Linked DNA regions of Macaca fascicularis. The protein of the gene in region 3 purifies or fractionates together with the protein of the main gene of each other region. This does not show direct contact. Links are inferred from orthologs where the notes say so. Each region holds a gene or a part of one and is shown on either strand. Other genes may lie near its edges. The genes, in order: NEK2, CCNA2, ANAPC4, anaphase-promoting complex subunit 11, ANAPC16, ANAPC7 and ANAPC13.

Region 1 (4,255 bases), on a different chromosome or scaffold from region 3:
AAAATCCATTTCATTTTTGTAATCCTTAAGTTTAATGCATTGTAATCATTCCATAAAAGCTTGAACTGAATATGCTTTAATTTGCATGAATGCTCAAAAAATTGAACCCACTGAGAGATGACAAACAGTAGCAAACCTTAGAGTAGGAATCTGTCTTCATCATACTTACATTATTACACATAATTCATGAAGCAAACAAAAACTCATAGACTTTATTGGTCTGGTGGTCCATGTGGAAAAATATAACAGTATTTTCAATTCTTAAACAAACAGAAAACTCAATTTCCCTGCTTCAGAATGCTTAACATTAAAAGATGTTTTGGCTGGGAGCGGTGGCTCACGCCTATAATCCCAACAATTTGGGAGGCTGAAGTGGGCAGATTGCTTGAGGTCAGGAGTTTGAGACCAGCCTGGCCAACATGATGAAACCCTGTCTCTACTAAACATACAAAAATTAGCCGGGCATGGTGACATGCACCTGTCGTCCCAGCTACTCTACTCGGGAGGCTGATGCAAGAGAATCCTTTGAACCCAGGAGGCAGAGGTTGCAGTGAGCCGAGATCGTACCACTCCACTCCAGCCTGGGCAACAGAGCGAGACTCTGTCTCAAAAACAAACAAAAAAACAAAAATAAAAGATGTTTTAAAAAGTATCTAAATTCTGAAATACTTACAGGAGACATGTAATAAGGTGTGCCAACAAATGTTTTTGCAAAACTCGTGTCGTGGTTTAATATTCTAGCTAGCCCAAAGTCTCCAAGCTTGACGTTTTGCTTGCCATCCAGGAAAACATTGGCTGGTTTCAGATCCCGATGCAATACAGTATGACCACCATCGCTTCGTCTGTGGCATTCCTTCAGGGCCAGAGTCAACTGAGTCATCACTCGAAGAACAAACTCTTCATCTAAGTATTGCCTGAAACCAAAGCAGTTATACAGCATATAACTTCTAAAAAAAAAAAAAAATCGTTGCCAAGATGGGATGATATAAATTATCCAGTGTACTAATAGGGAAATAAATTATTTATTTATTTATTTATATTTTTTGAGACAGAGCCTTGCTCTGTCACCCTGGCTGGAATGCAGTGGCACGATCATGGCTCACTGCAGCCTCGACCTCCCAGGCTCAAGCAATCCTCTTGCCTCAGCCTCCCAAGTAGCTTAGACTACAGGCACATGTCACCATACCTGGCTAATTCTTGTAGAAACAGGGTCCTACTATGTTGCCCAGGCTGATCTTGAAATCCTGGGCTCAAGTGATCCTCCTGCATCGGCCTTCCAAAGTGTTGGGATGACAGGTGTGAGCCACCACACTCAGCCTATAGATTGTTATTTTGATATAAAATATGGGTGTTGATTCACCGGGAATTTTCTAAAGTACTATGGACCTACCAAACAAATGCAAGTATACTCTTCCATATTACTGATCCTAAAACAAGATGCTTAAAATAAATGAAAGTAGACCTAATTTCAGCTTACATTTTTAAAAGATTATGCTTACCTTTCCTTGGTTCCCTTTGTAATCACACTAGCCAGATCCCCTCCTTCACAATATTCCATTACAATGTACAGTGTTGTGTTGGTCCGGTCAATAATTCGATCATAGTAACGAACGATGTTTGGATGTTTCAGTTCACGAAGCAAATTCACTTCAGAAACAAGCATCTGTTTCTCAGTTTCTGTCATGGAGCCATAGTCAAGTTCTTTCCAAACTAATATCTAAAATAAGAATTTCCAAGGTATGAATGAACTCATTACGCTCAAAAACAAAGAATGAAAGTTCCAAGATTTAAAAAATAACCTTCCTTTTAATTATATCCTACAATCAAGGTCATTATCTAATTTAGTTCAATGAACTTAAAGAACTGTGAGTTTACTTCCATAATCTTCTTTCAATTTCTAAGCAGTAAATGATGTTGTAGGGAGATAAAGGGGAATAAGGCACATGAGGTCTCCCCCAACCCCTACCCTCAGTTGGTTAGTGGGAAGTTGGCAAAAAGGTACTTTAGTCAAAATTGGGGTGGAGGTGGTCAAAGTCCCTGCCCCATTCCACCTCAGTCGTGTTTTCCCAGGATGAGACACCTTGGAAAAGCAGCCAGGCAGTTTCCTGTCCAATATTACTTTCTGTAAAAGGTCTACCTGTATACATTGGGAAATATGAATCCAATAATCCGAATAATGGGTATTTTGAGGGAGTCTGACTGCAGATACAAAGCTTCGGGTTCTGGTGGTCCTGCCCCTTTCTTGTGTCTGAGAGGGCCACTCTTAGAGCTCTAAAAACAGCTCAGGAGTTAGCTACGTGTCACCAATGGAAGGTCCTTAGCAACCCAAAACAGAAGAGAGAAATGGGGAGAGAAACGGGAAAAGATGGAAATACATATATCAAAAGACGCGGTCTCCCATCCTTTAAGCGACCCAGGACAGGCTGTCAGATGCAGACTCAGTAAAGACGGCTGAGTCTTCCGGGCACCCACTTCACCAGCCCTCTCGGTTCCCTTCGGTGGCGCAGGGCGCTCGCCCCTAAGCAGGGGCTGGCACAGGGAAGGGACCACGCTCACCTTGCCGTCACTCTTCCTCCGGATCTTCTGGCAGCGGCCATAGGAGCCTGTGCCAATGGTGTATAACACTTCATAGTCCTCAGCCCGGGACGGCATGGCCGGCCAGTCGCCAGAGTCGCGCTGCCTCACGCAGGTTGCGCCCCCAAATGCGGAGCTCCAGGGACCGGGACCGGGAGCTTCAGGGACCAGCACGGAGAAGCCCCCGAGCAGCGCTAACCAGTCACCCTTGCCTTCGGCCCCGTTTAACTGTCGCGGGCCCTGATCTCGCAGTCTATTGGCAGGCGGTGGGCCCGCTTCGCCTCTCTGATTGGCTAAGAAGAACACAACAATACCCTAGGCATCTTGGGAAAAGTGTCACTAGGCAGCCGCGTCGGCGTCTGCTTTTAACCTGTGGGAGCAGGGGGCGGAGCTAAACCAAAGGGAGGGCGGGAGAAAGGAAGCGGCAGCAGGCGCCTCTTGGCAACTCTAACCCTCTGGTAGAGATCGCCAAGGTAACCGAGATCGAAGGACCTCCCCTCAGGCTTCTTTGCACACAGCTTCCACCAAATGCCTTCTGACCTTTGCACTCTGGCCCCTCACACTACCTACTCTCCCCGGAACACGCCTTCCTCGCTCAGGTTCCAGTACCCTGAACCTGGGTGGGGTCACGTTGAGGACACGCTGAGAGCTGAATACAAATTAGAAATTAGACTGGGCGCCGTGACTCACCCTCGCCCGTAACCCTAGCACTTTGGGAAGCCGAGGTGGGTGGAACGCTTGAGCCCAGGAGTTCAGACCAGCCTGGGCAATATAGCAAACCTCGTCTCTACTGAAAATACGAAAATTAGGCCGGGCGCAGTGGCTCACGCCTATAATCCTAGCACTTTGGGAGGCCGAGGCAGGCGGATTGGGATTGCTTGAGGCCAAGAGTTCAAGACCAGCCTGGCCAACATGGCGAAACCCCGTCTCTACTAAAAATGAAGAAAAAAAAAATTAACCGAGCATGGGGGTGCATGTCTGTAATCCCAGCTTCTTGGGTGGCTGAGTCATGAGGAACTGCTTGAACCCGGGAGGCAGAGGTTACAGTGAGCAGAGATTGCGCCACTGCACTCCAGCCTGAGTGACACAGTGAGACCCAGTCTCCAAAAAAAAAAAAAAAAGAAGAAGAAATACAGTCGCTCTCTGACCAAGCACTTTACACATCTTGTCCCGTTTATGTGTGCCAAACACATAATTCACCCTATTGACAATACTTCATTGAACACAGATTCTTTGTTAGGCACCCACACAAACCAACTTTCCCAGCTTACCCAGCCAAATGAACAGTCCCATGTTTACCAGGGAAGGAGCACCTAGAGGCCTCCATCCAGGGCTTGTTGGAGAAATACGTACATTACCAGAAAGCTAATAATTTGGCAATGCATAAACAGGCCAGTTTTCTTTAAATATCTATTTGGCATAGGATTAAAAGAAACCTGATTTTCTATTAATAAGAATTTAAAAGCTCTTTATGTTAAAATAAGGGACTTACTACATGCACTGAATATAACATAAGATAACTGGAATTGCCAACCAGGAGAATTTTTAAATTAACATTCAAGGGTACTGTCTTACCTCAGGGGAATAGGACAATTTTAGGTTTCAAAAGTTATGTAAGGCACTGCAGATGGCTATGTTAATTAGCATCATTTTTTATTTTTGTGCCTCTTACAGATCGGTA
Region 2 (4,283 bases), about 100 Mb from region 3:
ATGTCCATAGTATGTGGTGACTCTGGGACAATTAAAAAGATATGATTAAATTAATTGTTTGTCTACTTAGTTTAATAGCTAAAAATGACTGCCCTTGTAAGGAATTTCATATTAACAAAGCACTTATTTCATCAAACTAAAAAGAGCTTCTCATGACGAAAAAGGTAGAATATTTTACCTTAGTCTCAGTATCTCTGTACATATAGCTTTGGAATGATTTTAGTTAATGAAGGGGGAAAGAAAACCATATTAGTAGGCCCCTAACAGGAAAACGAGAATCAGGTATTATCTTAAAGTATCCATCTTCCACAACAGAAAGGAGCAGATGGCATGGTGGTTCTGTTAGGACAGAACATTTAAAATCCAAGTTTTGAGATAATATCTAAGATTTGCCCTAAGAGAGACTGCAGATCCCAGAGTCTGACATATACAAAGCCCAATTAGGCGATAGCTAGAATCAGTTAAATGGCCTCCATTAACAAGTGTTATTAAGAAATTAGGTTTGTTATGGGCAAATGGATTAACACTATAAATTTATTTTTTGTAGTATAAATTATCTTTTGAAGCAAAGAGTATCATCCATTATTCTTTTCGCTTCAAAGATCACCTTGAGATTAAACATTTTCTGCAAAATTTTGATAAAAACACACAAATTATTATTTCCAAAGGACTTTTCCTGCTCACCCCTCCTTCCCCACGATCTATACAACTAAAACTAAAATGAGACTGGATTTAGTGAGCTGTCCAGTGACTCGATATCCCTAGGGCAAAGAAACAGTACAAACTGCAAAGAGCTGTTTGCAGCAGCTACTTTAATACATGGGTAAGAGTAAACAGCCATGGTACAACTGTTTACTTGTAGGAGGAAAAGTGTCACCTTCTGGTATCAGATGATAATCCAGACTGGTTTTATAGAAACAAAATTATAAAACTGGAAGAGATGTTATGTAATCACAATATTTAAGACTGCATCTTCAAATAGCACTCTCTAAGTGATATATAAGTGAGTTAAATAAAACTGAAATCTATTCTCCCAACCAAGAACACATTTATGGGATCAGATTAAAATAAGCATTTAAGATCTAATTATAATTAGACTGATGTGACTGGCAGTGAACCTGAAAGAGCACTAGGTTAGGATCCTTTTGTACATCACCAGGTCGAGTGTTAGCTGTGAGATCTGAGATAAGTCACATCCTTTCTAAGCCTTGTTACATTAAACCTAACTCACTGTAATCAAAATGACTACATAAGACATCTTAAAATGCAAATCATTAATATCTAATAATTATAATTACCGTAAATTCATATAGATTTTCCTTAAAACTTACCAAAACTACCATCCATTGGATAATCAAGAGGGACCAATGGTTTTCTGGGTCCAGGTAAACTAATGGCTGAATTAAAAGCCAGGGCATCTTCACGCTCCGTTTTTTGAGATTCAGCTGGCTTCTTCTGAGTCTCTTTTTCTGCTTCATCCACATGAATGGTGAACGCAGGCTGTTTACTGTTTGCTTTCCAAGGAGGAACGGTGACATGCTCATCATTTACAGGAAGATCCTTAAGGGGTGCAACCTAAACAAAAATAAATAACTGGCTTTGAGCCTACTAAATAGTTTTGCATTCTTTCTCTTATGGGTGTTGGCCTTTGCTTTTTCTCCCAAATACTCTATCAGGAATTAAACTTTCTGGGACAAACAATAGTTTGAGTATTCAAAAGAGAAGGGATGTTCCCATTTGTCACAGGCATTCCCACAAAGGCTATCAATAGATAACACTAGGTGGAATTATGCAAAACTAATCAGGGCCACAAGAAGGGTCGGGTGGCAAGTCAATACATGACAAGTTTAGGAAAGACATGGCAAAAAAGTGTTGGTTCACCACTGTCGCCCGAGGGTGGAGCAACAGAGCAAATCCGGCTAAAATGGCGGAATTTGCCAAAAGCAAAGTTATTTCGTACACCCTTTTCTAAAGTAGAGGTTATCTCTTAACCATGAGGAGGAGGGGGGTCAGAGTCCTACAGTAGTGCCTGGGGTTTAAAAGTGGAGAGAAAGGCGCGGAGCTGAGCGAAGACTACACGTTTTAGAGCTTGGTTTGACCCCATTATGTACAGGCAGATGCCACCTATAGAGAGCAGACAGGCAGCATACACAGTGTTGGCGGGGTCCTGATGCTAATAATGGGAGAATTCCTATTGTGGCATCCCACACACCAGCACCAAGTGGACTCCAGACTCTGGCCCCCTTCCAAAAGCCCAGGACATGCCTTCTCGCCACTCTTCTCTGCCTGCTAAGCCAGTGCCAAACCCTGCTCGACCCACCCTCCTGCAGACATCCCGCATCCCTTTACCCGTCGCGTCTTCGGCCTCTGCTGCTGCGCTAGACCCCGCGGGTTCCCGGCCTTCAGTACCGCCAGCGCGGCCCGGGTCCGCGGTTGCTGGACGGGCGCTGCCTTTTCCGGGTTGATATTCTCCTGGTCCTCTTGGAGCGCAGTCTGCTGCAATGCTAGTAGCGCTGAGCCCGCCTCGCGGGTCGCAGGCCCCGGCGCGGAGTTGCCCAACATCACTGCTCCCGGGAGTGGACGGCGGGATCAGCCTGCGGCGCCAAGCAGCGTGCACTCTGCCCAGCCCACCCGGCCAAAGAACAGTCGTAGCCGCCGGTCGCAGCCCAGGCCAGCCTACCCGCCCGCCCGCTCACCCAGCTCGAGACCACGCAGGGTCGAGGAGGTTGCGAAAGGCGCAGGAAGGCACGGCCGGGCGTGGCGGGCCAAAGACACCCCGAGATGTAGCGAGCAGCCCGCCGGAGCGGCGGCTGTTCTTGCAGTTCAAGTATCCCGCGACTATTGAAATGGACCAATGAAAGCGCTCGCGGCCTTGACGTCATTCGAGGCGACAGGGTCGCAAGCGAATGAAGGAAGCACCAAAGGACTCTGAGCAGGGGCGGGGCAGGAGGGAGAAACGAACTGGGGCTGGGGCGGGAGAAAACGCCTGCGCGGGTCGGGGAGAGCTAGGGGTACTCAGGGCCCGAGCTTCCGATTACTTTGAGCCACCTAGAGAGCGAGGCGGTCCAAAGGCTGACTCTAAGCCTTTTAGGGAATTAAGCGGAATTAAACTTTGGCGACTATCATTTGGGCTGCCCAGCCTTTAGCTCTGGGACCTCTAGTTAGCTCAAGTGACTTTTTCCCAAGGTCTAAAATCTGGACCACGTTTTTCAGTATCTCCGATTCTCCGTTTTCTTATTTGTTAATAGGGACTAATAACTACAGTCAAACGGTTATTAGGATTAAATAATGTGCATAAATTAACACGGAGCTCACATAGTAAGTAATACAGTACTCAAGTGTCAGACTGTAGTAATATCTTAACATTTAGGCATTTATTCATAGTAACCAGAAATTGTGTTTTATGCTTTTTATTTTTCCTAATGAAGATGCAATTAAGTGCCACCTTGAACTACTGTTGATATATATATAATAAATATACAATGCATTACAAAATATTCAAATAGAGTCATTAATTTTTATCTATTTTTCCCCAAGCTGTGGCAGCCAACAAAAAATACAATGACATTCTAGTGACCTAGATAAATTATGTTCCTTTCAGAAGTAAAGTTTCTTTAAATATAGTAAAAACAATATGATCTTATTAAAATAAAATTCTCTTAACTATATATGTGCCTGTAACAAATTTTAATATTTATATACAAAGCTTGCACGTACCTAGTAAGTATAATAGCATATCATTAAGAAGCATTGTTTTCTAAAAAATTAGTGAGTCTGCCCTTCTTGAAACAAAGCTTATTTTCCATTATCTTTATGCCATTTTAAGACGTTTCAATATTTCTTTGAAATTAATAAATATGAATTAAGATTAATGTACAAAACTTCTGTAGCCTTAATGTCATATATGATAAAAAGAGATCATACTGGTATAGGAAAATCTAAGATGGCATCACTATTTCTGCACTCTTCACTTGTAGCATGCTTGAATAGCTCCACTGGTTACAGCATGTCTAGTTAAGATCCCCCGACTCTGTGTAAGCTCTTATTTCCCTGACTACAATTTATAGCACTGAGCCAAGTCCAGCATTTCCACAAACTGCAGCAGAGTCATAAAACATCACCAAGCAAAAGGAAAATCAGTTGCAAATCAATCCTATCTCCTAGAAAAAATAATTGGTAGGTTACTTCCACTAGCTGGCAACATACATAGTAACCAGGACACAAAGCAAGTACCAGTACTTGGGTTCTGGTCCCAGCTTTATAAAGTACTAGCATGTCCTCTT
Region 3 (2,305 bases):
ATTTCAATGTAATTTCTTCCTGATACAGAAACAATTCCTGATACCTACCCTTCTGACAGAAAATATTAGACTTTTTCTTCACATTCAATTTGTTCACTTTCTTTCTTTTTTGAGACACAGTCTCACTCTGTCACCCAGGCTGGATGGAGTGCAATGGCATGATCTCAGCCCGCTGCAACCTCTGGCTCCCGGGTTCAACCGATTCTCATGCCTCAGCCTACCAAGTGGCTGGAATTACAGGTGTGTGCACCACGCCCAGCTCATTTCTGTATTTTTAGTAGAGTTGGGTTTTGCCATGTTGGCCAGGCTGGTCTTGAACTCCTGACTTCAAGTGAGCCACCCACCCAGACTCCCAAAGTACTGAGATTACAGGTGTGAGCCACCATGCCTGGCCCTGTTTTCTTTAAACACTAGTTCTGTACATAGCATTAAAGAGAAATCTCAGAAAAAATAAAGTGTATCAGAGTGACTGTATCACTAAGAGAAGATGAAGCAGAATATGAAAAAATAAAATTTACTGTTTATTTCTTTGTTACACAAAGAAAATTAAAGGTGGTCCAAGACATCTTAGTCCATCTCCTATGTCCTTCTGGCCATAATTACACACACAACAATGGCAAGCTAGATTAAGAGTCTAGCTCAGGGTCAAGTTTTTCCACTTTAATGACTATCTCCGGAGCGAAAGCAGCAGCACCAGCTTGTTGGTTCTCTGTCTCTGACTCCGACAACACTTCTTCCTTTATTTTTACAGGCTTATTACCAGCCTCCTCCTCTTCATCTGAAGACTCATCGAGCTCCCATTCATCATCTATGTCCATTTCAAATACTCTCACATGACGAAGATTTGAGCTTAACTAAAAAAGAAAGGCCATAAAAGCACTTTTAAATTAATGGCTTAACTAATATATCATATATAAGGAATTAGAAATCAGAAGTCTGAATCAAAGAATGGTTTTATAGGAAACATATTCCCATCAATTTACAACAAAATCAATAAACTCAGCCTTCATTTTGTATAAAAAGGTCTCCACATAACAACAGTGGCAATTTCATGAGATTAAAATCTAGAATTATTAACTGCTTAGTAAGCTTTATCAGAACGAGAGAATAGCTAAGTCCACATGACCATAATCAATACAAGCTATAAATCACAGCAAAAATATTTGCACAAAAGGACCTTACATGTCATGTATTTGATGAAGGTTCCAAAGAAGCAATGTTACTTCTTGTAATTTCTTAGTTGCTGAACGATCTGTAAACACTTACCACACAGGATACTTTTCGAAAACCATTCCCAGCAACATACTGTGCTTTCATACTTTCCAGTAATCTCCAATGCTTCTCGAAATGCATGGTACGGGTGGGAATAGCACTACATTGTTCATCTAGCCTAAAGAGGGAAAAAACCCACCCAGGAATGAAAAGGGGATCTTCTCCTCCCTAGTTTGCTACAGGTGGTATTAGGGTCAATTATGGCTTTGACTTCTACTCATACTTCCACTTCCAATATAATTTTAGCAACTGTTGTATTAAAAAAAGAGCTGTGATATAATATTCTATAAAAATTCCATATTCTATATTCTGGCTGGGCACAGTGGCTCATGCCTGGAATCTCAGCACTTTGCGAGGCCAAGGTGGGAGGACTGCTTGAGTCCAGGAGTTCAAGGCCGGCCTGGCCAACAGAGTGAGACTCCATCTCTGTAAAAAATAAAATAAAATTAGCCAGACAAGGTGGCACATGCCTGTAGTCCCAGCTATGAGAGGCTGAGGCAGGAGGGTCACTTGAGCCCATGAGTTTGAGGCTGCAATGAGCTATGATTGCATCACTGCACTCCAACCTGGGTGACAGACACAAGCTCTGTCTCAAAAAAAAAAAAAGAAAATACTGCAATTCCAAATAGGCAGAATATCATTTTAGCAAGGTTTCTGACTCCCTTTCAAGGAAAGCAAATGGATACATTTTTAAATTAGAGATCTGCTTACTTAAGTCTCAGTTAAAGCCATCTCTTGGAATTGACAGTATACTTCCCACATGGGCACTGAGGTCTTAATTCTGGAAGGAAAATACTGAAGGCAAATCAAAAATAACTAATTCCAACCAACTAGGGTTAATGCAATCCTTGAAAACGTAACTAAAAGAAGTCCCATTCTCCACTCCAAATAATTCCCCACCTTGATTCCAGCAAATACTTCCTGATTTACTAGTAAAGCGAAGGGATAAAAAAAGCTATTAAGGCCAGCATATTTTGAATATAAATTGGAGCACTTCTGCTCAGCTACCTCTGTGGTTACCCCTAGTAATGAA
Region 4 (4,109 bases), on a different chromosome or scaffold from region 3:
TCACCCAGGCTGGAGCGCAGTGGCATGATCTCACCTCATTTCTTGTGCCTCTGCCTCCTGAGTAGCTGAGACTATAGGCACGCGACTCCACACCAGACTAATTTTTGTACTTTTAGTAGTCGAGGTTTCACCACGTAGGCCAGGCTGGTCTTAAACTCCTGGCCTCAAGCGATCTGCCGCCTCAGCCTCCCAAAGTACTGGGATTACAGGCGTGAACCACCGTGCCCTGCTGTGAGCCCCATTTCTATTAAAACAAATAACAGGTAAAGGGCTCTGGGTACAGAGGGTCAGGGCTACAGGGGAGCTACTGCAGAACAGCGAGCCCTGGCAGCAATCCACTGTGGCTCACGAGTGTAATCCCAGCACTCTGGGAGGCCAACTTGGGAGGATCGCCTGAGCCCAGGAGTTTGAGACCAGCCTGTGTAACATAGTGAGACTGTCTCTACCAAAAAAAAAAGAAGAAAAGGAAAAGAAAGAACTATCTGTGAGGTTTCTTTAGCCGTCTAGAGAAAGGGCACACTTTTCTCTCCCAGGGAGGGAACTCAGCTCCTCACGGACAGAGAGGTCACACTGTCAGGAGTTTCATTTTACCTCATGTTGAGGATATCTTCAAAGATCTCAAGTGGGTCTGGCCAACATGACAAAACCCCGTCTCTACAAAAATACAAAAATATTAGCTGCAGGTGGCGGCTCATGCCTGTAATCCCAGCACTTTGGGAGGCCGAGGAAGGTGGATCACTTGAGGTCAGGAGTTCAAGACCAGCCTGGCCAACATACTGAAACCCTGTCTCTACTAAGAATACAAAAAATTAGCCGGGTGTGGTGGTGGGCACCTGTTATCCCAGCTACTCGGGAGGGTGAGGCAGGAGAATCACTTGAACCTGGGAAGCAGAGGTTACAGTGAGCCGAGATCATGCCATTGCATTCCAGCGTGGGCAACAGAGTGAGGCTCCATCACACGTACACACACAAAATTAGCCAGGCGTGGTGGCGCACACCTATAATCCCAGCACCCAGCTATTCGGGAGGCTGAGGCACAAAAATCGCTTGGACCCAGGAGGCAGAGGTTGCAGTGAGCCAAGATCACAGCACTGCACTCCAGCCTGGGCGACACAGTGGGACTGTCTCAAAAAAAAAAAAAGAAAAAAAGCCTGCTGTGGTGGCATGCACCAGCTGCCTGAGAGGCTGAGGCGAGAGGATAGCTGGAGCCCAGGAGTTCAAGGCTGCAGTGAGCCAAGATCACACCACTGCACTCCAGTCTGGGTGACAAGGGGAGACCCTGGCTCAAAAAACAAAAACAAAAGCAAGTATCTCAAAACAACTTAAATCCATGAAATGGGCTGGCCCTGACTCAAAAAACAAAAACAAAAGCAAATATCTCAAAACAACTTAAAATTCATGAAGTGGGCTGGGTGTAGGTGGCTCACGCCTGTAATCCCAGCACTTTGGGAGGCCAAGGCGGGCGGATCACCTGAAGTCAGGAGTTTAAGACCACCCTGACCAACATGGCGAAACCCTGTCTCTACTAAAAATACAACTAATTTCTCTACTAAAAATACAACAATTAGCTGGGTGTAGTGGCACATGCCTGTAGTCTCAGCTACTTGGGAGGCTGAGGCAGGAGAATCGCTTGAACCCAGGAGGCAGTGGTTGCAGTGAGCCAAGACTGCCCCACTGCACTCTAGCCTGGGTGAAAGAAGACTGTCTCCAAAAAAAAAAAAAAAAAAAAAAAAAATTCCATGAAATAGCACATTGGTTTTCATTAATAAGTTGCAAATATGTCATATAATTTCTTTTGGAGACAGGGTCTGGCTCTGTCACCCAGGCTGGAGTGCAGTGGTGCCATCATGGCTCACTGCAGCCTCGACCTCCTGGGCTCAAGCGATCCTCCCACCTCGGCCTCCCAAGTAGCTGGTAGTACAAAAGTGCACCACCAAACCCAACTAATTTTTTTTTTTTTTTTTTTTTTTTGAGACGGAGTCTCGCTCTGTGGCCCAGGCTGGAGTGCAGTGGCCGGATCTCAGCTCACTGCAAGCTCCGCCTCCCGGGCTTACGCCATTCTCCTGCCTCAGCCTCCCGAGTAGCTGGGACTACAGGCGCCCGCCACCTCGCCCGGCTAGGGTTTTTTTGTATTTTTTAGTAGAGACGGGGTTTCACCGTGTTAGCCAGGATGGTCTCGATCTCCTGACCTCGTGATCCGCCCGTCTCGGCCTCAACTAATTTTTTTTTTAAGAGATGGGGTCTCACTGTGTTGCCCCAGCTGGTCTCAAACTGCTGGGCTGAAGCGAACCTCTTGCCTCGGCCTCGCAAAGCGCTGGGATTGCAGGCGTGACCGCGCACGAAAACTTGTAAAGGATATGACTAGCAAATTGTGAGAGTGCAGACTCGGGGGTCTGCAGGTGGGGACCAAACAACCAACCCGCAGCTCTTCTGCGGCGGCTGTCGCCCGCCGAGTCCTCCGCTGGACCCCGCCGCGAGCCGAGCGCACAGTCCCGGGCGGGAGCGGAAACAAGGACTCCCAGCGGCTGCCGGGCACCCGCCGCGCCCGCAGGGCCCCCAGCGCCCCCAGCCCAGGGCGATCGGGTGGGGCGTGCGGGGAGGGAGGGGCGCGCAGGCTCCGCCCCCAACGGCTGCCGCCCCACCCCCTGCGCCCTCGCACCTTCGCCAACCTAATCACGCGCCGCCCTGCCCGCCCTTCCGTTGGCAGCGCCGGCGTCCGCGCGGGAAGGTATAAAAACGACCTCAGTCGCGGCCCGGCTCCCTCAGCAGCGCCCGCCGAGTCCCGCGAGCCAGTGCGCACGCGCCTTCCCGCCTCACCCCGTCCCGCGCGCGCAGCCGTCCGCCGGCGGCCAATCAGCAGTCGCTCCGAGGCCGTGGCACCGGAAGGCCTCACGAGGCGCCGGAAGTGACGCGCCGGCGTGCTGACGCGCGGGCTCGAGCCGATGCCCGATTCCGCGCCCGCCATGGCCGACAAAATGGACATGTCTCTGGACGACATCATTAAACTGAACCGGAGCCAACGAGGCGGCCGCGGCGGGGGCCGGGGCCGCGGCCGGGCCGGCTCCCAGGGCGGTCGCGGCGGTGGGGCGCAGGCCGCCGCGCGAGTGAGTCGAGGCGGCGGGCCCATCCGGAACCGGCCGGCCATCGCCCGCGGCGCGGCCGGCGGAGGCGGCAGGAACCGACCGGCGCCCTACAGCAGGGTGAGTGCGGAGGCCGGCCGCGCCGGAGAGCGGGAGGGGACCAGCCGGGGCCGGGGCGTCTCGCGGTGGAGACCCGGGCCGGCGGACAGATAGGGCCGGTGGAGCGGCCGCCCGGAGGTCCGGAGGGTGCGTGTGGGCGCGGAGGGGGTGGTGGGCGGGAGCGAGGTCGTTCTTTCGGGGCCCGGTCTCGGAGGCTGAGACCCTTCCCGGCTCTTTGTTTGTTCCGGCCGCCGGGGCCTCGTGGCGGCAGGAGAGGAGGGGACGCTGGGCGCGGCACCGGCGGCGGGAAGTTAGTCGAAGGGAACTGAAGTTGTGCGGCCGCGGTGGGACCGTGCCGCCTCGGGCTGGGGCAGCTGCTGCGCCGGAGGGAGCGCCGGCGGCCCCGTCTCGGCCGGATCCTCTCAGGCCGGGAAGAGGAAGGGTCCGGAGTAGCCGTGAGGGCCAGGAAAGGCCTGGACTGAGACTCACGGATCTGCTGTTGTTGCGGTTTTTTTTCTTCAGCCAAAACAACTTCCCGACAAGTGGCAGCACGATCTTTTCGACAGTGGCTTCGGGGGTGGTGCCGGCGTGGAGACGGGTGGGAAACTGCTGGTGTCCAATCTGGATTTTGGAGTTTCAGACGCCGATATTCAGGTAAGAGACGAGGGCTTCTCGGTGAGCCGTTCGCCCTGCACAGGACCGATCGTGATTTGGGGGAGGGGGCCCTGAGTCCCCTTCCCGCCTTAGCGAAGGGAGCGCTCCCAGCTCTCAAGGGCTGCAGGACAGACCTAGCTCTAGTAAAGCCGGGCTCAGTCCGCAGGCAGGTGCGAGCCTAGCCGAGCCTGAGGAACTGCTGCTGATAGTGTGAAGATGGGTTCTGTGAGTGAACATCCCCAGCCAGGGCTTCCAGTTTCTAACAGGGACCAAAAC
Region 5 (3,391 bases), on a different chromosome or scaffold from region 3:
TTTTTTAAGAACAGAGCACATCCGGGCCGGGTGCGGTAGCTCACACCTCTTATCTCAGCATTTTGGGAGGCTGAAGCAAGACGACTGCTTGAGCCCAGGAGTTCAAGACTGACCTGGGCAACATGGTGAGAACCCATCTCTAAATATATATATATATATATATATAAAATTAGTGGAGAGTGGTGGCACATGCCTGTGGTCCCAGCTACTTGGGAGGCTGGCGTGGGAGGATTGCTTGAACCCAGGAGGCATACTCCAGCCTTCATGACAGAGTGAGACCCTGTCTCTGGGAAAAAAAAGAATAGGGCACATCCTGAAAATGTGATCATTTTATTTTAAAATGACTTTTTTATTTTTTGAGATGGAGTCTCTCACTGTCTCCTGGGCTGGAATATAATGGCATGATCATGGCTCACTACAACCTTCGCCTCCTGGGTTCAAGTGATTCTCCTTCCTCAGCCTCCCAAATAGCTGGGACTACAGGCACCCACCACCACGCCCAGATAATTTTTGTACTTTTAGTAGAGACGGGGTTTCACCCACCATGTTAGCCAGGATGGTCTCGATCTCTTGACCTTGTGATCCACCTGCCTTGGCATCCCAAAGTGCTGGGATTATAGGCATGAGCCACCATGCCCAGCCTAAAATGACTTTTAACATTAGAAGAAACTCCGACTTAAAAAAAAAAAGGCCAGGCGCTGTGGCTCACGCCTGTAATCCCAGCACTTTGGGAGGCCGAGGCAGGCGGATCACAAGGTCAGGAGATCAAGACCATTCTGGCTAACACGGTGAAACGCCGTCTCTACTAAAAATACAAAAAAATTAGCTGGGCATGGTGGCAGGTGCCTGTAGTCCTAGCTACTCGGGAGGCTGAGGCAGGAGAATGGTGTGAACCCGGGAGGCGGAGCTTGCAGTGAGCCGAGATCGCGCCACTGCACTCCAGCCTAGGCAACAGAGCAAGACTCCGTCTCAAAAAAAAAAAAGAATAGGCCGGGCACAGTGGCTCACGCCTGTAATCCCAACACTTTGGGAGGCCAAGGCGGGCGGATCACCTGAGGTCGGGAGTTCCAGACCAGCCTGACCAACATGGAGAAACCCCATTTCTGCTAAAAATACAAAATTAGCCAGGCATGGTGGCGTATGCCTGTAATCCCAGCTACTCGGGAGGCTGAGGCAGGAGAATCGCTTGGACTCGGGAGGCAGAGGTTGCAGTGAGCTGAGATCATGCCATTGTACTCCAGCCTGGGCAACAAAAGTGAAACTCTGTCTCAAAAAAAAAGAAAAAAGAAAAAAAAAATTAAGCTTCTGACCAGCATAGAATAAGACCCCATTATGAGAATTTTGAGGGTCAGGCGCAGTGGCTCACATCTGTAATCCCAGCACTTTGGGAGGCCGAGGCAGGCAGATCACCTGAGGTCAGGAGTTCGAGACTAGCCTGGCAAACATGGTGAAATCCCATCTCTACAAAAATACAAAACTTAGCCGGGCACTGGTGGATGCCTGTAGTCCCAGCTACTTAGGAGGCTGAGGCGGGAGAATCACTTGAACCCAGGAGGCGGATGCTGCAGTGAGCTGAGATGGCGCCATTGCACTGCAACCTGGGCAACAAAGCAAGTCCATCCCCCCGCAAAAAAAAAAAAAAAGAGAGAATCTTGAGGGGAAAAAAAATCCATCTAGAAATTGACTTTTTTTTTGAGACGGAGTCTCACTCTCTGTCGCCAGGCTGGAATGCAGTGGGACAATCTTGGTTCACTGCAACCTCTGCCTCCAGGGTTCAAGCGATTCTCCTGCCTCAGCCTCCCGAGTAGCTGGGACTACAGGCGCATGCCACCACATCCAGCTAAATTTTTTGTATTTTTATAGAGGCAAAGTTTCACCATGTTGGTCAGGATCGTCTCGATCTCTTGACCTCGTTATCCGCCCGCCTCGTCTTCCCAAAGTGCTGGGATTACAGGCATGATCCACCGCACTCGGCCTAGAAATTATTTTTATACCAGTCATCATCTTGGTGGCTGGTGGCAGTCTCATGGGTAATACATTGTTGTATAGTATTTTCTCCTCGACTCTTTACAGATCAGCAAGTTGCTCGGATGGAAAAACTAGCTGGTTTGGTAGAAGAGCTGGAGGCTGACGAGTGGCGGTTTAAGCCCATCGAGCAGCTGCTGGGATTCACCCCATCTTCAGGTTGATGCTGCCTGGATGGTCGCCTCTGGTGCGCAGCAAGTGCAAAGCCAGTGGGGGACTTTCTCACAGCTTGCATAGCCATCCAGAGATCCACAGCTACATCGCTGAATTGTTAATGCACATTTGTACTTGGTTTCTCTGTATCTATTCACAGGCAACAAATACTTATATGTATGATCTTTCAGGGAATATTTTGTTTGTTTTTAAAAGTATTGGGAATCAGATTAAGACAGTCGGTTTCAGAGAACCAAGAGGTTTGGGGTTAAGAGATACTTAAAAATTTTCACAAGCCAGGTAGGGCATATATCAGATTTGGCCAACTGATTGGCATCTGTCCTGTCATCCATACGGTGCCTGGAAATATTCACCAGTCAAGGTCAAGGTCAGCATCTGTGGTTAAAAATACAGCATTCTGACCTAAAAAATTATTTTGCAGATGAATGTGATTTCAACTCAGGAGCTATCCAAATGAGGATTAAATATTCATTTTTTTTCCTATTTTTAGACATCAATTCTATAGATTCTAACTTTTTCTAACCTCTTCTTGACATGCTAAATGCTGGCAAAAAGAAGTGCTTTTTGGATATGGCAACACTTGTAAAAATAAAGCAGTAAGCAAAATCCTTTTAAACACAGAAATCCTGAGTTCTTCTCATTGGTGGACTCAAGCAATTCTGTAGCAAATAAATCCTTTGAAAGAGCTCCAAGTTGGTGGCTTTATTCTTTCAAAATCTGAGGGATTTGGGATGAGGCAAAGAGGTCAAATTACTTTTTAGAAGAAGAGAATCTAAAAACCGTTTCTCCTAAACAAATGGTAGACTGGCTTTTCTTCAGGGATATGTGTCTTTATAGGAATACATGAATTTATCTTACTGATAATTTAAGTAGGTTTTTTTTTTTTTTTTTTTTTTTTTTTTTTTTTTTTTTTAAGAAACAAGGTGTTGCTCTGTTGCCCAGTTGGTCTTGAACTCCTGGCCTCAAGAGATCCCCCCCGCACCTCGGCCTCCAAAGCGCTAGGATTACAGGCATGAGCCACTGTGCCTGGCCTCAAGTAAGTTTTTATACCATGATAGGGAAAAACCTGGAAGGCTAAGAGATGTACTTTGTTTTCCCTCATGGGACCCCACGTTCCACAGTAAACAACTGGGATAATCATATATTACCTTGTATGCAAATTTTGCCTTAGACAGCATTTGTCTGTTCCTTG
Region 6 (4,101 bases), on a different chromosome or scaffold from region 3:
AGAACCAAGTGAAAGGTTCCAGAATAAACACAGAAGGCTGACAGAGACCAGGGCTCCTGTCAACATGAAGTGGATGGTGGCAAAATGATGGGTCTCACTAGTAAGGTCCAAAGCACACTAATGAGGCCGGGCTCGGTGGCTCACGCCTGTAATCCAAGCACTTTGGGAGGCCTAAGTCATGGGGATCACTTGAGGTCAGGAGTTCGAGACAAGCCTGGTCAACATGATAAAACTCCATCTCTATAAAAAAAAAAAAAAATTAGCCAGGCGTGGTGGTGCGAATCTGTAATCCCTGTTACTCAGGAGGCTGAGGTGGGAGGATCGCTTGAGCCTGGGAGGTGGAGGCTGTAGTGAGCCAAGATCGCACCACTGCACTCCAGCCTGGGCAACAGAGCAAGACTCTGACTGAAAAGCAAAACAAAACACCAAAGCACACTCATGAAAATCCAATGGGCAGCAGCAGCTGCATTGTAAGCACTTTAAGGACCTTTCCCTTCTGACCTAGACCAGCTTCTATAGCAGGCCAAACACTAATACATCTACAGAGTAGAAGTTTCCATGATAATGCCATTTGGAGGTAGCAGACTGGTGGCTCAGAATGGAGACTCTCCAGTCAGAGAAGACCAGGTCCAGACATTGTACTCCTCCATTTATTAGATGTGTGAACTCAGACAAGGGTATTTCACCTCCCTGAAGTTGTACTCACTTCCTCAACACACTCAATAAGCATGTGAGTGCTTAATGCGCACATCCACTGTGCTTTCAATTGCTAGGCGATGCGAAGGGTAGAAAAGTGGGAGTACCTGAGAGTCCTGGGAGTCAGAGAAGGTTCTCTAGGAGAGATGTTCAGGCTAAAACCTGAAGGAGGAGGCAGCGCTGAGATAAGGACCGTTGCAGCAGGAACAGCAAGTACAAGGGCCCAGAGAACACGCTTGGTACATTCAAATAACACAAAGAGGCCAAGCGCGGTGGCTCACGCCTGTAATCCCAAAATTTTGGGAGGCCGAGGTGGTGGGATCACCTGAGGTCAGGAGTTCAAGACCAGACTGGTCAATATATTGAAACTCCGTTTCTACTAAAATTACAAAAATTACCTGGGCATGTGGCGCTCGCCTGTAATCCCAGCTACTTGGGAAGCTGAGGCAGGAGAATCGCTTGAACCCAGGAGGCGGAGGCTGCAGTGAGCCGAGATCGCGCCACTGAACTCCATCCAGCCTGGGCGACAGAGCAAGGCTCTGTCTCAAAAAAAAACAAAAATAAATAAAAATAAATAAATAACAGAAAGAATAGCCAGAGAGGCTGGAGAGCAGTGAACACAGTAATGAGATGAAGTAGCAGAGAGTGAAGGGCAGATAGTTCCTTTCGGAGGCCATGGGAAATAATTTTCATTAGTGCAATAAATGATTTTTTTTTTTTTTTAAGACGGAGTCTCGCTCTGTCGCCCAGACTGGAGTGCAGCGGCGCGATCTCGGCTCACTGCAAGCTCTGCCTCCCGGGTTCCCGCCATTCTTCTGCCTCAGCCTCCCCAGTAGCTGGGACTACAGGTGCCCGCCACCACACCCGGCTAATTTTTTTGTATTTTTTTAGTAGAGACAGGGTTTCACCGTGTTAGCCAGGATGATCTCGATCTCCTGACCTCGTGATCCGCCTGCCTCGGCCTCCCAAAGTGCTGGGATTACAGGCTTGAGCCACTGCAACCAGCCAGTGAAGGATTTTAAGCAGGAGAGGGACATGTACTTAAGGATGGACACTCAAGGATGGAATCAGCCCAGTGCTTCAATGAAACAAGAAAGGCGCCACGCCCACCCATTAATGGAATCTCCCGTTTCTTTTTTGAGACAGGCTGTCGTTCTGTCGCACACGGTAAAGGACAGTGATGCGATCACGGCTCACTGCAGCCTCGACCTTCTGGGCTCAAGCAATCCTCCTGCTTCAGCCTCCCGAGTAGCTGGGAACTCAGGCACGCACAATCACGCCCGGCTAATTGTTTAATTTTTATTTTTCATAGAGGCAGGGTCTCCCTATGTTGCCCAGGTTAGTCTTAACTCCTGGGCTCAAGCGATCCTCCCGCCTCGGCCTCCCAAAGTGCTGGTATTAGAGGCGTGAGCCATCGCGCCCGGCCCCGTTTTCAGGGGTTTCCCAAGGCGAGAAAGTGGACCCTCCTGATACACTTAATGGGGTGACCAATCTCAGATGCGGGGCTAGAGCATAAAAACCAGGAGGCTGGGTCCCGGAGCTGCAGCGAGAGAAAAAAACGTTCTCTGGAAGGAGCCGAGAGGGGAGGATTCGGCCCAGCGATGTGACAGTCGCGCTACCCCGCGACAGGTGCCTCAGAAAACCCTCGCCTGGGTCGTCCTCAGAGCCTCTGCCTTCTATTTCTCCAAGCCGCCGCTCGCCACATCTCCGCAGGGACTTGACGCCGGCACCCAGTGAACCCAACTTGCGCTCCGAAGTCTGCTCCGCTCCACTACGCCCTCGCAGACGCCGGAGCCTCCGCTGGTGCGGGAGGCCGCTCCTTCCCGCCTGTTCCCGCGTGCCCTGAGCCCCCGGTCCCAGACCACTGCCGCTTTCTCCTCAGCCCCAGGCCGCTCCCCGCCTCAACTCACGGGTTGTTATTGCTCATTGTAAGTAACAAGCTGCTGAGGAGCCGCACGTTGGAGTGCAGCCCCGCGGCCGCCATGTCCCGCACGTGGTCTATCACATTCATCCTGCCCTGCAAGGCCGCGGGCAGCGGCGGCAGCACTGTCTCGAAAAACCGGTAAGGGATCCTTAGGGAAGACTCCAAAATGGCCGCGTCGCCGGGGTCCATCGGGTCCACACGCGGCACCGCCCCCAAGCAAAAGGTAACTACTGAAGTGCCCGAATAAAAAGAAACTCGAGTCCCTGCTCCTGTCGTGGTCCCTTTCCGGTGAAATGAGTTGTTACTTTTACGCAAAAATTACGTCATCATCCTAAACTGCAAAATTTACTGAGGACTTACAATGAGACAAAAGTCACCTTAGTAAGACTACTTGGTCAATTTGAATGAGTCTGAGAGGAATTTGGGCCTCTCAGAAATTAAAATGTGTGAGCACTTACCAGAAATAAAATATAGTAAGGTGAGGAAAAGCGCTCCAACTGGAATTAAATATTCTAATCGGGCGCCAGGGACAGACCTAACGGCTTTTACAGTCGCGCATGCGCACCAGGCAGGGGCCGCCGCCTCCCTGCTCAGGTGTTTTGTGTTCCTGCTAAAGTCAGGCTTTGTCCCTGGATGAACTTGTTAATTCGAGGGGCGTATTTTACCATGTAAAATGATTCCCTAAATCCGTGGAAATAAAGACTAGATCCAGGAATTAGCTGATACCCATATAAACCAGCATGTGTCTGGCACAGTTAACTTTTTACAAAAGTTTTACACAAGTTATTGGACGTTCACAACAATCCATAAAGTTGAAGTTGTCTTTCCCTTCTCACAAGGGAAGAAACTGCCTGCTTAAATTTTGTGCTCAGGTTGTTAAATGGTTGACTTGGAATCAGATCGCCAGTGGTTAAATGTGATGGATCGCAAACTCGAATGTATACAGAGACCAGGGAGGTAACTGAGCCAATGAGGCAGTTTAGGTATTTGAATCAGAATCCCAATATCCTCCACAATCACCCTCTCAGATATAGCCTTTCGCTCCTTTCTTGAAGGAGACAGTTGTTTTGGTCTATATTTTGTTTTCATTTGATTTTTAGAGTAACAGATGCAAAAAAAAAAATGCTCTGAAAAAATCACGGTATATCTTCACCAGTCAACTTTTTCAGCTCTTACATTTTGTCACAGTTGAAGCTCCTGTGATCCTTTTCCCATCTCATCCCCTACTCTAGTTTTCTGGATGTATGAGACCTTTGATGTGATTTTGGTAGGCATGATCACTGTGAACTTTTCTTTTTTTTTTGAGATGGAGTTTTGCTTTTGTCGCCCAGGTTGGAGTTCAAAATCTCAGCTCACTGCAACCTCTGCCTCCCGGGTTCAAGTGATTCTCCCTGCCTCAGCTTCCTGAGAAGCTGGGATTACAGGCACCTGCCACCACTGTCACGCACGTCCGTGTGAAGAAACCACCAAACAGGCTTTGT
Region 7 (4,230 bases), on a different chromosome or scaffold from region 3:
GTTGGTAGGTAATGCTCACTCGCCTGTCACTCACCTCCTGCTCTGTAACCTGGTTCCTAACAGGCCACGGACTGGTAGTGCTCTGCAGCCCCGGGTTTGGGGGCCCCTGGTTTAGAAGCCATAAAGGCAACAGAGATACCTGTTAAAGGATACTGTGCAATGTAATCTGCTAAATTTAGAACTGTAAGGAAAAATAGGGGCTAATCCCATAGCTATAGCTATGAGGGAACTGCTATAGATTAAAAGATGTCAAATATGCATCACCCAAACACAACAGGCAGATCCCTGTGGGATTTTGGTTCAAACAAGCTAACTGCAAAAAAGACATTTAAGAGAGAGTTGAAGAAATCGTAATCTGACTGGACATTGACATTAGAGAATTTTCATTAATTTGTGTATGTGTAATGACAGTAGTGTGGCTTTGCAAAACTGAAAGACCTAGCTCCTGACGGGGGCGGGCAGGGGACTAAAATAACATAAAGATCGGAAATTCAGTTCCTGAAACCTTGTGTCAATGTTGGCTTTAGCTGAATTCCAAATCAAGTTGACATTTTTTGAAAGCAGGAAGCAATGACAGAGTGGACTACTGATGCTGTCACCATCTGCCAGCACAACGTAAATTAGAACAGAAAGGACTAAGCAAAGGCATTCCACCTTTTAAAGAGAGAAAATGGCATCAGTACAATCAACATATACAATTTTTACAAACAACTTTTAGAGTTGCATCTACATACATTTTAAAAGGCAGTGTGCCTGTTTATAAATCTCTACCCCATTTTAGTTTCAGAGCCTTTTTTACTACCCTGATCACTGATCATGCCACAGTCAAAAGGCAATCTCAAAAATTAATCTAAAAATAGTACTGCATTCCAAATAAGAAAATATATATACTTTGTTTTACTATTAAGCTACAGCTAACAGAAATCTAATCAACGATCCTTGATTTTCTCTTACCTAAAAAATAAACGCAAGCACGTGAGGAACTGTATAAATACAGAGCATCTACCCTACAATACTGCTTTATAAAAGAATAAATTCTTTTAATAAGTTTAACCGGACATAAAGCTCAGGGAAAACTACTTTGTGCATATTAGTGTACGGTGCTTAAACTATACAAGATGACTAGTCTCTGACATCATACACATCTTTACTCTCCTGATGTCGTATACGACATAAAAAAAACCACATTATAAGCCTAAATGTACTGTCTTCAAGTATCTCCATGATTAAAGTGTTCCTAAGAAACCGTCCTTGTTTCTTTCTATCCCTGATCTGTGTGCATGGAGCAGTTAGTTCAGGGTTCTCCAATTTCAGTCCACGATTTCTGCCATAATTCCGTACCTGCTGTACTAAACATAACCGTTTACACCAACTCACTATTTTAAAAGCTGCCAACCTTAACATGCCACCCTAAATGAGCGGGTCCCCTTGTGCCGTGAATGAAGTAGTCCTAACAGCGCTAGCTAAACAGCAGCCCTGGCCGGGAGGCCGCACAGGGGTACCTCCGCTGAAAAGAAAGGTGGGTCCGCCGGGAAAGGTGAGTACTGGGCGCAGCTCGCCCGCCCACCTGGCTACTCTCCGAAGCGCCCCCAGCCACCCGGCCTCCGAGGAAACGCTGTGACCACCTGGCGGGGCCGAACCGCGCGCCGGGCTGCGCCATGCCGGACTACGCCGGTGTGCAGGGCATAGCGGGCCAGGCCGAGGGACGGGGCTCCGGGGCGGACGCGAGCCGGCGGGGAGGCGCCTGGTGGTTCGCAGACTGTTGCGCGAACCGGCCGCAAGCCATGAGGCCGCGAAGCCAGAGTCACCAAGGCAGCCTGGGCCGCCTCCGGACCAGGACGCGCTCGCCCCTTGCGCTTCCGTCTTGCGCACGGGCGGTTACACGGCTGCAGCAAGCGCATCCCTCAGCCTTCCCGCCGTTACCTCGGCCGTGCACTGCGCACGCGCGCCACCACTAAGCTTACGTCCAGCCTCAGCAGTCGGAGCGTTCGTTCCGCCCACTGCCCCCACACTTTTAATAATTGAATCAATGTCTGCTCCAGACTTCCCCTGCACGCGAGCAAATGGACTCACCCACATCCGGGAATCCGAGAAAGAGCGTGCAGACGCGTGATGCGGTGCGAGGCAGGAGGAAGCGTCTGCCGCGCTGGGCCGCGTAACGGTAAGGGTTTGCAGCGCCCCCGGCCTAGGTTTTGGAGGCGCGGGAATGCGTTCGTGGCTCAGTGTCGGACTTCCCCCTATTTCCATCGGCCGAGGCTGTCACTTTACGCTCATAACCGTTTTCTTTACTGCACGCTGTGTCGGGAGGAAAGGGACTTGCTTGGCACCCCAGACCTCCCCGTCTCCGCTTCCACGTTTGGTACATCCTGCGTCAGGCCGGAAGCCGCGGCTGAGGGGCGGCCTCTCGTACAGTGTGGTGGCCTGCGAGGCTCATTTCTAGCAAGGAACAATATTTTTCCCGCTTTGACCTTACAGATACATGTTTACAAAGCTATAATGTATAGAAATGGATAAGACATGTCCCTGTCCCGGGAAACGCAGGCACTGCGTGTCTGGAAAGACATACATCTGGGCTGTTTGACAGGCTACCTAGTTGGTGCCATGCTCTGTGCTTAGGGAACTATGAGATCCCCGGTGGGTACCGGGACCGCGCTCAGCCTGAGGTTTGGAGGCGGCCTCCTGCAGGAAGCGACTTGAGACCTGAGATTTTTAGACTGACTATGGGTTCGCTGGAATAAAAAGGAAGAAACAAACAGCATTGCAGGCATCGGGACTGTCACGTGTAAGAAAAGTTTGTTCAGGAAACAGTTGTCGTATTGTGTGACGAGTACTTGGGACGGTGGCTGTGCCTTGGGCGTTGATTATCTTGTTGCTTTCCATCCTTCCAGCCCCTTAAGAGTGAAGGCACCTTCACGCCTAACCCCGGAAATGGGATGTTGACCTCCAAGAGCTGACGCCTGCGTTGATCTTGAAAGGAAGAGTGGCATTAGTGATGTGGAAAGGGGGGTTTTAACTGTCAAGGCTGGAAAATGTGACAGGGTTTGAGGTGTTTGGAGAAGGGACAGGTGAAAAAGATTGAGGCCAAATTGTAGAAAGATCTACTAAGGAATCCTGGGTACAAAATGTACACATAACAGTTGGAGACAATAATACCTGAGCAATTGATCACAAAGCTTGTTTAGTAGATTTAAGTTAGGACAAGAAGCAAGAGTTCAAGGATAGAAGGCCTACTGAAGCTCGAGTGATCTGAGAAAACCTTACTAAAAGGTGGAAAACCTATGTGGGCCTGGGAAAGTCAGGTTTGGATCAGCTGAGGAAAGTGAAAAGGGTATCCCAGGAGACACAGCAGCAAGGACAAAGGAGTAGCAGCAGGAAAGTGGGGAGCTCTTATAAGACAGGGACTTCAAAAGTATAACCAAAACTTCGTCTTGCTTTGAGTTATCCACTGGGTAGTAGGGGGTTAATTATTGAGTACTGGATTAATTAAGCCCTCACCTGGCTCACCGGTGACAAGTAGCAGGGCGCGTTTTGCTTAAGTTTTGCCCAGATCTTTTAAACCCTTTCCTACACACCAATCTGTGTATAATTTTTGCCAAGGTGTTGGGGATATCTTGCAGTTATCCTATGGGGGACATCTGTGAGCCTTTTTTTTTTTTTTTTTTTTGAGACCAAGTCTTTTTTTTTTTTTTTTTTTTTTGAGACGGAGTCTTGCTCTGTCACCCAGGCTGGAGTGCAGTGGCCAGATCTCGGCTCATTGCAAGCTCCGCCTCCCGGGTTCATGCCATTCTCCTGCCTCAGCCTCCCGAATAGCTGGGACTACAGGTGCCTGCCACCACGCCCGGCTAATTTTTTGTGTTTTTAGTAGAGACGGGGTTTCACCGTGTTAGCCAGGATAGTCTCGATCTCCTGACCTCGTGATCCGCCCACCTCGGCCTCCCAAAGTGCTGGGATTACAGGCGTGAGCCACCGCGCCCGGCCATGTGAGCCATTTTTACAAAAACTTCCACCTGCCTTGGCCCAAACCTCAGCATTCTTAGGCACAGGAGCTCATGAACATACTGAGATAACACTAAAATGGACTATGGGAAGGGACCAACTACAGACCTGACACAAATCCTCAAGGCAAGACGATGTCTGAAGTTGACCTTGTAAAGGAAAAGGCTTCCTTCCTTAAAATAGCACCCAGGCTGAGCTCTGAAAAAAGCACCTCAAGATGGTGGGTTCCACCCC

The links.
Region 1: the proteins of ANAPC4 (region 3) and NEK2 purify together in Homo sapiens (affinity purification with mass spectrometry; 6 studies listed by BioGRID and IntAct, with this or other methods). This does not show direct contact. The link is inferred for Macaca fascicularis from reciprocal best matches to the Homo sapiens genes ANAPC4 and NEK2.
Region 2: the proteins of ANAPC4 (region 3) and CCNA2 purify together in Homo sapiens (affinity purification with western blotting; 3 studies listed by BioGRID). This does not show direct contact. The link is inferred for Macaca fascicularis from reciprocal best matches to the Homo sapiens genes ANAPC4 and CCNA2.
Region 4: the proteins of ANAPC4 (region 3) and anaphase-promoting complex subunit 11 purify together in Homo sapiens (affinity purification with mass spectrometry; 8 studies listed by BioGRID and IntAct, with this or other methods). This does not show direct contact. The link is inferred for Macaca fascicularis from reciprocal best matches to the Homo sapiens genes ANAPC4 and ANAPC11.
Region 5: the proteins of ANAPC4 (region 3) and ANAPC16 purify together in Homo sapiens (co-immunoprecipitation; 10 studies listed by BioGRID and IntAct, with this or other methods). This does not show direct contact. The link is inferred for Macaca fascicularis from reciprocal best matches to the Homo sapiens genes ANAPC4 and ANAPC16.
Region 6: the proteins of ANAPC4 (region 3) and ANAPC7 purify together in Homo sapiens (affinity purification with western blotting; 14 studies listed by BioGRID and IntAct, with this or other methods). This does not show direct contact. The link is inferred for Macaca fascicularis from reciprocal best matches to the Homo sapiens genes ANAPC4 and ANAPC7.
Region 7: the proteins of ANAPC4 (region 3) and ANAPC13 purify together in Homo sapiens (affinity purification with mass spectrometry; 9 studies listed by BioGRID and IntAct, counting the BioPlex papers as one, with this or other methods). This does not show direct contact. The link is inferred for Macaca fascicularis from reciprocal best matches to the Homo sapiens genes ANAPC4 and ANAPC13.

Annotation. Positions count from the first base shown.
Region 1 is NC_088375.1:69,486,037-69,490,291, forward strand, and holds the start of NEK2 (serine/threonine-protein kinase Nek2), read right to left. Parts: upstream 2,801-4,255; 5' UTR 2,653-2,800; coding exon 2,557-2,652; intron 1,718-2,556; coding exon 1,500-1,717; intron 915-1,499; coding exon 674-914; intron 1-673. UniProt on the Homo sapiens protein: Protein kinase which is involved in the control of centrosome separation and bipolar spindle formation in mitotic cells and chromatin condensation in meiotic cells.
Region 2 is NC_088379.1:126,897,726-126,902,008, forward strand, and holds the start of CCNA2 (cyclin-A2), read right to left. Parts: upstream 2,801-4,283; 5' UTR 2,563-2,800; coding exon 2,350-2,562; intron 1,576-2,349; coding exon 1,332-1,575; intron 23-1,331; coding exon 1-22. UniProt on the Homo sapiens protein: Cyclin which controls both the G1/S and the G2/M transition phases of the cell cycle. Functions through the formation of specific serine/threonine protein kinase holoenzyme complexes with the cyclin-dependent protein kinases CDK1 or CDK2.
Region 3 is NC_088379.1:24,532,265-24,534,569, reverse strand, and holds the end of ANAPC4 (anaphase-promoting complex subunit 4), read right to left. Parts: intron 1,391-2,305; coding exon 1,267-1,390; intron 855-1,266; coding exon 627-854; 3' UTR 501-626; downstream 1-500. UniProt on the Homo sapiens protein: Component of the anaphase promoting complex/cyclosome (APC/C), a cell cycle-regulated E3 ubiquitin ligase that controls progression through mitosis and the G1 phase of the cell cycle.
Region 4 is NC_088390.1:88,270,450-88,274,558, reverse strand, and holds the start of anaphase-promoting complex subunit 11, read right to left. Parts: upstream 2,801-4,109; 5' UTR 2,420-2,800; intron 655-2,419; exon of another isoform or gene 592-654; intron 1-591. Other genes in the region: ALYREF (THO complex subunit 4), read left to right, coding at 2,943-3,200, 3,702-3,833. UniProt on the Homo sapiens protein: Together with the cullin protein ANAPC2, constitutes the catalytic component of the anaphase promoting complex/cyclosome (APC/C), a cell cycle-regulated E3 ubiquitin ligase that controls progression through mitosis and the G1 phase of the cell cycle.
Region 5 is NC_088383.1:74,182,332-74,185,722, reverse strand, and holds the end of ANAPC16 (anaphase-promoting complex subunit 16), read left to right. Parts: intron 1-2,073; coding exon 2,074-2,189; 3' UTR 2,190-2,891; downstream 2,892-3,391. UniProt on the Homo sapiens protein: Component of the anaphase promoting complex/cyclosome (APC/C), a cell cycle-regulated E3 ubiquitin ligase that controls progression through mitosis and the G1 phase of the cell cycle.
Region 6 is NC_088385.1:117,273,664-117,277,764, forward strand, and holds the start of ANAPC7 (anaphase-promoting complex subunit 7), read right to left. Parts: upstream 2,801-4,101; 5' UTR 2,708-2,800; coding exon 2,607-2,707; exon of another isoform or gene 1,807-2,606; intron 859-1,806; exon of another isoform or gene 804-858; intron 1-803. UniProt on the Homo sapiens protein: Component of the anaphase promoting complex/cyclosome (APC/C), a cell cycle-regulated E3 ubiquitin ligase that controls progression through mitosis and the G1 phase of the cell cycle.
Region 7 is NC_088376.1:37,392,895-37,397,124, reverse strand, and holds the start of ANAPC13 (anaphase-promoting complex subunit 13), read left to right. Parts: upstream 1-1,430; 5' UTR 1,431-1,537; intron 1,538-1,567; coding exon of another isoform or gene 1,568-1,901; exon of another isoform or gene 1,902-2,073; coding exon of another isoform or gene 2,074-2,247; exon of another isoform or gene 2,248-2,782; intron 2,783-4,230. Other genes in the region: CEP63 (centrosomal protein of 63 kDa), read right to left, coding at 1,626-1,901. UniProt on the Homo sapiens protein: Component of the anaphase promoting complex/cyclosome (APC/C), a cell cycle-regulated E3 ubiquitin ligase that controls progression through mitosis and the G1 phase of the cell cycle.